Drosophila melanogaster: one gene and its partner. The protein of the gene in region 2 interacts with the protein of the main gene of each other region in a pairwise test. Each region holds a gene or a part of one and is shown on either strand. Other genes may lie near its edges. The genes, in order: CG6569 and CG14995.

The links.
Region 1: the proteins of CG14995 (region 2) and CG6569 interact in a two-hybrid assay, tested with the Drosophila melanogaster proteins (one large-scale study listed by BioGRID).

Annotation. Positions count from the first base shown.
Region 1 is NT_033777.3:21,865,672-21,869,778, forward strand, and holds CG6569 (uncharacterized protein), read right to left. Parts: upstream 2,249-4,107; 5' UTR 2,173-2,248; coding exon 2,138-2,172; exon of another isoform or gene 2,074-2,137; coding exon 1,734-2,073; intron 1,684-1,733; coding exon of another isoform or gene 1,681-1,683; exon of another isoform or gene 1,656-1,680; coding exon of another isoform or gene 1,623-1,655; exon of another isoform or gene 1,594-1,622; coding exon 1,096-1,593; intron 1,039-1,095; coding exon 839-1,038; intron 780-838; coding exon 572-779; 3' UTR 502-571; downstream 1-501. Other genes in the region: lsn (larsen), read left to right, coding at 1-76, 144-290, 354-501; CG31174 (uncharacterized protein), read right to left, coding at 3,119-3,311, 3,368-3,490, 3,548-3,843.
Region 2 is NT_037436.4:4,099,752-4,104,601, reverse strand, and holds the start of CG14995 (uncharacterized protein), read left to right. Parts: upstream 1-1,641; 5' UTR 1,642-3,045; coding exon 3,046-3,125; intron 3,126-3,387; exon of another isoform or gene 3,388-3,421; coding exon of another isoform or gene 3,422-3,606; intron 3,607-3,756; coding exon 3,757-3,822; intron 3,823-4,850. Other genes in the region: Fit1 (fermitin 1), read right to left, coding at 1-342.

The DNA of each region.
Region 1 (4,107 bases), on a different chromosome or scaffold from region 2:
AGAGTTCAGTGCACCAGGAGATCACCAAGGAGGACATCCTAATGGCCGCTAAGAAATTGAGCATTTTTGGCAACGGGTATGGGTCATTACCTCTGCTTGCATTCAATATCACAAGTTTCTCGTTTTCCATAACGTACCTTCAGCTTTGTGGTTCACAAGCTGGGCAAGGGCAAGTACATAGTTCAGTCCATTCCCGGAGAGCTGAGCATGGAGGAGACCAACATACTGAATGCCGCATCCAATACCGAACAAGGCTGTGTTACGCAGAGTCAGCTGATCAAGGATTTGGGGTAAGAATTTCACTTGTACTTTCAACTGAATATCCCTTTGATTTCCGTGTTATCCGTTCTCAGCTGGACCGACTATCGTGCTCAACAGTCACTGGACAAGGTGCTCGGCGAAGGTCTCTGTTGGATTGACAAGCAGGCGGGCGATGAGCCAGCCTATTGGTTTCCCAGTTTGTTTCCCGGTCGAAACGCACAGACAACGGCCGCCACATAGTGTGATCTCGTAGAACTAATTTATTATGTACGAGAGTTATCATAAAATATATATTTGTACAACCGTAAAATCAGCGTGAAGTCTGCTTGGAGCTATCGCCTGCGGCACCGCTCTTAAGCAGTTCGTTTTCCGCCAGCAGCACGGAGTTCTCCTCCCTTAACTTGTAAATTTCCGATTCGAAGCGTTGCGTGATGTCCTCCATGCCCTCGCGGTATTTCTCCTTCATTTTCTTGTGATCCATTATGCAGCGATCCATTTGAGACTTATAGTACATTTTTCTAAAAGCGTTATGATTTATAATCATGTTTGTCATTAATTGTCTATGTTGTATACTCACATCCTGGCATCTTCGGCATCCCCACCGTAAGCTTCAGTAACGGATCGCTCCAGTTCGCCAAGTCGCCGGCAAGTTGCCTCCAACTCGGCCTCCAGCTTATCGTTCTGCTTCAGCACCTCCTTGTACTTTTGCTCCAGGCGATTGCTCCGGGTCTCCAGCATGTGCACCACCGACTTATGATCGACAGCCAGTTTTTTCAGCTAAAATTTGTAAGTGTAACTATAAGTGATAATTATTATACGAATATAGACTTTTACCTTCTCCTTTATGGTGGTAATTATAATGTCCTTTTGCTTGAGCATATTCTTCAGATGGCCCACTTCAACGTCGACGCGTGTGGAGGCCTCATCCATTATGGTACCGATATTGGAGGCTAGGTGGGTCATCTCCTCCTTGTAGGTCTCGGCCAGCTTTGTGGCATCTATTTTCTCCTTGTTTGCCTCTTCGCTGAGTATGATAGCCTCCTCGAGCTTGCGCATGGCGGCGGTTTCCCGTCTTGTGCTCTCCATGAGCAAATTGTGGGTGTGGCTCAGCGATAGTTCGTACTCCTTAAGCTGCTTCTGCAGGATGGACACCTTGGATTGACTCTGCTCGCTATCCTGCAGTTGAGCATGCAGCTGCTGGAGTTGCAATCCGCTGTGCTGCTTGTGATCGTGCAGGGCCTTTATGGTCTCCGCCTGCGTGCGTATCTCCTTCTGCTGGTCCTCAACTTTTGCCTCCAGCACTTTGACGATCTTCGAGTACCGCTGTATGACCTAAAATTGAATTCCGAAAACGTTGAAGTTTACTTTAGGATTTTTCCATTAGTCTCTGGTCCCTAAAACATACGATTTGGTCAAAGCTTACTATAATATGATAATCAATACGGGATTGGAATGATGAAGTGCAATAATACCTGGTCATCTCCAGACATTTTCAATTGGACGCGATAATTCTTAAGATCCATCTCCATGGTTTCGATGGTCTGTTTGGAGAGGTCATGCATGGTTTTCAGGCTGTTCCGTTCCTTGATAAGCTCATCCACCTGCTTCTTGGACGCGTCCAAAGCCTTGTTGCTGAGTTGAAGGCGATGCTTGAGCTCCTGGTAATCGCCGCTAACCAAGATGCTCCTGCATTTGGCCAATTCGATGTCCAGCCGGCGGTTCTCATTTAGAATTTCGTTGAGGTGAACCTTCAGTTCGGCCTGATCCCGCATCAGTCGATCCACTCCTTCACACATTTCCAGCACAAAGTTGCTAAATGGTGAATTGGCTGCGCGTTGACTAACTTTAGTTGACAAATTTTCCTTTGCTCTCCTACCTGAGAATGGCTTGCTGATTTTCGTGTTGTGTCATATTTGTTGTGTGTTTGGAATCATATTATTTTTCACAGCAGAGTTGTGTATCGGGTTTATTGTGTGTTTGTATAGAATTTCATCAATGAACCAAACAAAATGTTTATGTTTGACATGAGACGAGTTTCTGCGATGAAGCAAGCTTTGTCTTTTAAATTATCAGGCATTTAAAATCCTGTTGAAGGCAGTTTGGCTTAGAAATCCATCCGTATCCCCGCGTGCAGCAAGGAGTTCTCTGTATTTCACCGATTTTATGCAACTGGCAACCTTTTGCTGCCCCTCGTCAATCTCTGACAGCCAGCCGCTACCCTTCAAGCAGGTACATATGGATACGGTCTTACTAGCCATTAAAAACCTGGCACGAGTCCTGCCGCGAACGCTGATCCCCTGACAAGTGTCTGTTGTCCTGGGCAACGGGGCAGTGGCAAACAAATGGGGATGTAATCGAAATGTGGTCAACTTTCCGTTTCAGTTGTTTGCAATGCCGCTCTTCAACAAGAAGTTCGAGTCGAAGCCGATTCCAGTGCGTCAGGGACGTTGCAATATAGGACATCCGGTGGCCACCGAGGATCTGGATGACTTCCGCCAGATTTCCCTAACGCTGGGCAACAAGGAGCTGCGTTTTGCGGACGGCATCTGGATGCATTCGACCCGAAAGGGTGACGTAGATGATATGCTCCGGCTGAACAAGAAGTTTCGTGCCCTCGAGGAGGAGAACAATATGTGTAATCTTAAGATCGAGGTGATGCTGGATCTGCTGGCCGAGCGCGACGGAACTAAGTGAGCTGAAGCCAAAGGAAAAGTGATAAAAAAGCTGTATAAAATAAACAAAATATTTGATATACTGAATATTTTTTATTGTCAAATGTTAAAACCCAAGAAACTACATAAATACGTTTTGATTTCACTAATAAAATGCTAAAATCTTAAAAATTCCTAAGCGATGACTAAGGCTGATGAGTGTTTGAGTTATTGGTGGAATCATTCTCGGAATTTACCCACTTAGAGTGGACCTTACTAAGTCGCGAGTACTCAGCTTCATACTGTTGCATTAGATCATCCATGTCTCTCTTGAAGGAAACCATAATTTCTTCCTGCACACCTTTGTACATTTCCACTTGATCCTTGTGAAGTTTTCTTCTATAAATGCCAATAAAGTTAAGTAAATGCTATCATAAATAAAGTTATGATCTCACAATTCAGCTTGTTGTTCCTCCATATCGGGATTGGATTCAATGGCCGATTGTTTCACTCTAGCTTCAAGGTTTTCATCCAGCTTCAAAGCTTCCATATATTTCTGCTTCAAGCGTTCCTTTTTTCTGTGTTAAAAAAAAATGTTCATGTAAATATTATACGTAAATGATTTAGGATCATACAGCAAAATTTGAACTTCTTTATTGGGATCATCAACAGAGCATTCCACCTTGATCTCAGGTTCCATATGCATCACAAAATCTTCATCGAATTTAACACTGTTTTCAATCTTGGGATGGGATTTAGAAATGTTTTGATAAAGCTGGCAGGTATTCTGCATAAAGTAGGTACAGTTTTGATTTCGCTCAGGTTCTCTTTTGAATCCCACCATTGTTGGGGTTAATGATTTTGCAGCCTCATCTATAAAGTTCTTGGATTTAATGCTCAAATTTGCGATGACATCGTTCAAGTCGTCCATATCGTCCTGATTCTGAACCAAAACCTAAAACTTTATATCCTTGGCTTTAAGACCAATAACTCGATAAATTTATACTGAATTAAATGGTGATAGTAAACTAAATGCAAAGGGAACATGTTTCCATTTGTTTCTCGATCACAAAGTAAATCAGTTCGAGTAATAAGCGCATTTGTTTATTTATCGTAAATACCATAAATTTATTTTTACCCAAAGTAAGCTAATTTCGATTAAGACCCAACCACATACTTGAGTCCTATTTATAAT
Region 2 (4,850 bases):
CACAACGGCTCCGAAAGTTTTGGCCGAAAAGTTGACGCGGTAGTCCAGATAACGAAGATCGGGCATCTGCACCCTCAGTGTCTTGTGCATGGGCGTGAAGTGCAGAAAGGAATCCGATTGAACTCCGGCCTGGTCCAAAGTGGACCGCGTCCTGGTCAGCCAGATATTCTTGGCGGGCCACCACAGGGCGTGATCGGACCAATCCTTGGGCAACTCCGGATCCACCAGGTTCAGCATTACGCCGCCAATGTGCTGGTCACCCTTCACGCGCAGCGTCTTCTCCACCTGCAGATCCGTGATGAGGATCCGCAGGTTCCACGTATTTTCGCCCACATGAATCATCTTTCGCTAAAAGTTCCGATGCGCGGGCGTCTCTTCTGTCCAAAGGCGAAACTATAACTGCGGGTATATTTGTATAGTGTATATATATGGCACAATCAGAGTCTAAATTTGCCCTCGAAACGATGACGTAATTCAACTTACGTTCAGCACCGTTTTTGCAACCAAGTTTTTGTTGTTCTTGTCGTTGTCGTTGGCTGGCGGGGAGCGGAGAGGGGGGGACTGCGACTGTGGCGGTGGCGAAACTATATAGGCCCTTATCTCGCCAGATGTTTGCACGGAAACAGAAACGCCAGCGAAACAGACCCAACAATCCAACAAGCCGAGTAATCCAGATCAAAATCGTTGGATGTAGAGATGGTGGTGGTATGTATGATGATAAAAGGGGGGGAGAGGCGGGGATGTACGGATCACTTGATTAACACACGCCCAAGGTTACGATTTTGATGGCTTGCTTGCTGCTGCTTGGGATGTTTTGTTTTCCCGATCTCTCTAGCAATCGCAATTCGCAGCGTTTTCCTCGCTCTTTTCCTCGCACATCAACACACCGACGAACACTAATGCACGCGCTCAAAAATGCGATGCAAATTTTCACAAAACAACACGTCGCGGGCGACGAGACAAAGCGAACGAGCCGAGATAGAGAGAAATTAATTTATAAATAAACCAGCAGCAGAGCAGTATGACCGTTTGTCTGCGCATATCGATGGTTCGCGCCAGCGAAATCGAACTTATCGGAACGGATGGTAAGAAGTATAGTTTAAATTTTGTTAAAAATTACATCGAAAATTAAGCAATACCATTTACCGTTAATTCTCGTGCTTAGTTTTTTGTTATTAAACTTACTGCAAGAGATATTAACCACCATACATTCTTATAAATTCTACTTTCACAATTGAACCGTGGATAGGGCATACCTAATACATTAGATTCGCATGATTTAATATAATTCGTATTCGACTTGAAACGAATTTGTGTATGGCAATCTATTGTATTGTATCAATTGTATTGTATCATAATATCGGACAGGCAAAGAACAATGAAGTCGTGGAGATTGGCACTATTGTTCCTCATTTATTTCTTCGAATTGGCTTATTCCATACGTACCTGTGGCCCAGGACGAGAAAGGAACTGTCATATTAATACTAAGCAAAAATATCAAAGGCCGAAACATTATTAACGTAACCACATGTTAACAGTAAGCACATATTTTAAAATGAGGGTACAAATATGAAAAGTGTATCGATATTTATTTTTTTCCAGAAATGGGGGTCACACCGGCCCAATGGTCATCTCTAAGTTATCGTAACGAAAAATATAGTTCTGTTGTTTTAATAATTTTAGTAGAAAGCAAATCTGCTATTATGAATATCAATTTAAATTAACGCATGTTCCAGTTAACTAATTTGTTATAAAGCAAAAGTACATGCATATATAAAAACAATACTGGTTTTTCTCCTCCTCTCTCGCTGTTTCGCTCTTTCCGCTCTTTTTCTCCACACCGCATTCGTAAACAAAGACAATGAAAGCTCCAGTTGAACGGCTAAAGAGGCCTCAAAGCCCCCAGATTGTTTTTCGCCGTTGAGCCGAGCGCACGTATTCGAAAAAACAACTAATAGTGTATAATAGTGCAGTATTGTGTAAAACACGCGCGTCTCTGCTTTCTCGCTCTGGCACCCACCCATACACTTTCGCGTGCCCATACACACATACCTGTAAGAGAGCGAGATACGAAAAACGGTGCATGGAAAATAGGAAAATCGGAACTGAAAAAGTCGGAATTTCGTTTAATCAAGTTAGCTGCGCGTACTACTGTCAGTTTCGAATTGAAAGTGCCGGCCCAGGGTTTTTCAAATAGTCATATCGTTAAGAAATTCGAAATAAGACACACACCCACAAGTTCTCGGACAAAAACATCTCGGCACGAAAAAATCGATGCAGCAATGTAAAAATTTGACAAACTCCCGTACCACAGAATGAAAGCAACAATTGAGTTACACACATATACATAGTGTAGTTAAGCGGTGTGTTACGTTCATATACATACTCGTAACAATAATAAAAAAAAGCGCGGCGCAACAACCCGAGCGGCTTATTCATCCATGCAGGAGATTCGAGATACAAAACATCAGATACAATAGCAAAACAGCAGTCTAGCATCGAAATTTTAGTCAGTTGAAAAAAACCGAAAAGCACAAGAAATTTTCATTTTGTTCGGTCCCTTAACGATAAATCCTAACGTTTTTGGCAATTAACGAATATTGTAGCTGTGGAAAGGAGCCACACTACAGCAAATACACCAACATTAAGCGGTTGATAAACCCGAACTCAGAGCAACTTGAAGACTGGAAGACATACGTAATTACAACAAATTGCAGCAACAACAAAGCAACGCCTACGACACGCCAGTGATTACAACAATAATAGCAGCAAAAGCAAAAACGAAATTATTTACCACAACAAGGCATAACCTGTTGTAGCTATTTCACTGTACTGCATTGTTGCTCACCTCTCGGCATCTAAAATTGGGCATTCACAAGCGGCTTATAGTAAATACGCGTTTAACCATCGGCTGTGAATACACAATCATTATATAGCCGGAATCTGCAAGTGGCACACCTGTGGCCACGGGTCAGTTGAACACCAGTTGGAGCAACAGCATCGCCATCATCATCACCATCACCATCACAGCCACAAGTACACACAATGTCGAGACTCACCGAGGAAATGGTGATAGCGCGGGCCAAGCAATCCGATTTGTCCCTGATCAAAAAGCTAAATTGCTGGTAAGTAGACAGCCCAAATAACTAGAAATATTTATAGAATATATCATCATATCATACTGAATAACGAAAGGAATGCTTGCATTAGTGCAATAACTAGATTGTTTGTAAATTTTTAGTCAGCGGCATATTAATCATGCTTTAGCAAAGTTAGGACGACTAATTGTTTATTATTGTTCAGACTCAACCCACTGTTAATTTCATCGATTTTCGATCTAATTTTCGCCTGTGCATTGATCTATTGCTAATCGTGCTGGGGCAGGTGCAGCCACTATAGTGAAAGCTTCGATCTGTGTTGAATGGGTCTGCGATCTGGTGTCTGGGGTTTGGGGGATCTGCCCACTTTGCTGCTCACTTCGGTCGCTCCGGCTGCTTTCACTCGACCCAATTCCAGGGGCAATCTTCTAACCAGTTTAGAAGTGTCCACTTTGGAGCGAGTCACGATTTCCTGGACTGGAAAAACACGCGCCCCTCGAGAAAAACGGTTGGAAAAGCGTGAAAAGCAGTTGAACTACTTTCCGTGATGGGCCCCCAACTCTTGACCCATCTGCGATAAGCGTGTTGCCTGCTAAGAGGGCTCCACTGTACATTATTTATCTTTATTAAAATGCCATCTATTCTGTGCTTATTTCAGGGGCAGTGATCTCAGCGATGTGTCCATCATCAAGCGAATGCGTGGAGTGGAAGTTCTGGCTCTTAGGTAAGTCACAAGTCGTGAAATATTTCTTCTATAAGGATCATTTTGATTTCCTGACTCGGTGCCTTTTGATTGATACAAAGTGTGCGGCTCGCCGCCGAGAGAATGCGGTAGAGATATATATATTAAAAAGCTAGCGAGATATTTGCTTTCCAGTGATGTCATCGCCCCATCATTAGGCAAGCTCAAATACGAAAGATACTTTGGCACGCTCAAGCGCGTAATTAATGCAAAAAGCTGGGGACGCAGAAAACTACAGAAAATAAGCTAAAAGTCGTGGGAGCTCCCAAATTGGCAATAGCAACTGGCCGCGTACTTTTCCAAGTCGCGTAGGCCACACTGCGTAGTGGGCAGATACTATAGTTATGACTCGTATCTGCTAGATACTTTTGTATCTCGCTGTGCCTTGTACCTCATCTGGTACTGCTGGATACTTGTTGTACTTGCATGTCGCTCGATAAGTTTGCATGTGCTGCTGCTGCTGCTGCTGCTTTTGCTGATTTCGCCACTTTTGCCATAAAAGGCGACAATCATTTTGACTGCCAAGGTCGCCGAAATCCATTTCACCCCCCCAAAAACTTCTGTCATCTGTTGGCAATGTGCTGAAAACTCTCGACTCTTGCGATTCGTTTAATTATGCATAAAACAGATATAGATGGAGGTGCATATATACAAGAGTTCGTGGCCTTATAGGGAGATTTGGCATTGAACTTAGGGGAAAAGAACCGTGAGAATAACAGGAAATAATAATTTAGGTATGGGCGAATCAGCTATTTCAGATGAAGCGAATAATATGTCGACCCAGTGAACAGGAAGCTATAATTATGGTATTGAAGTTGTAGATATCGCACCTTAAACAGAAATTAGATCTTATATATTTATTTCATTAGAAACAGGAAATCCCAAAGGAGGTGTAGTAGTTATCAGAATAAGAAAAAACCAACATTAAGCAAATATGGATATCATATATATTCATGGGGTGAAGTAAAGTATAAATAAAATAACCTTGAACATGAATTGACACCGATCTT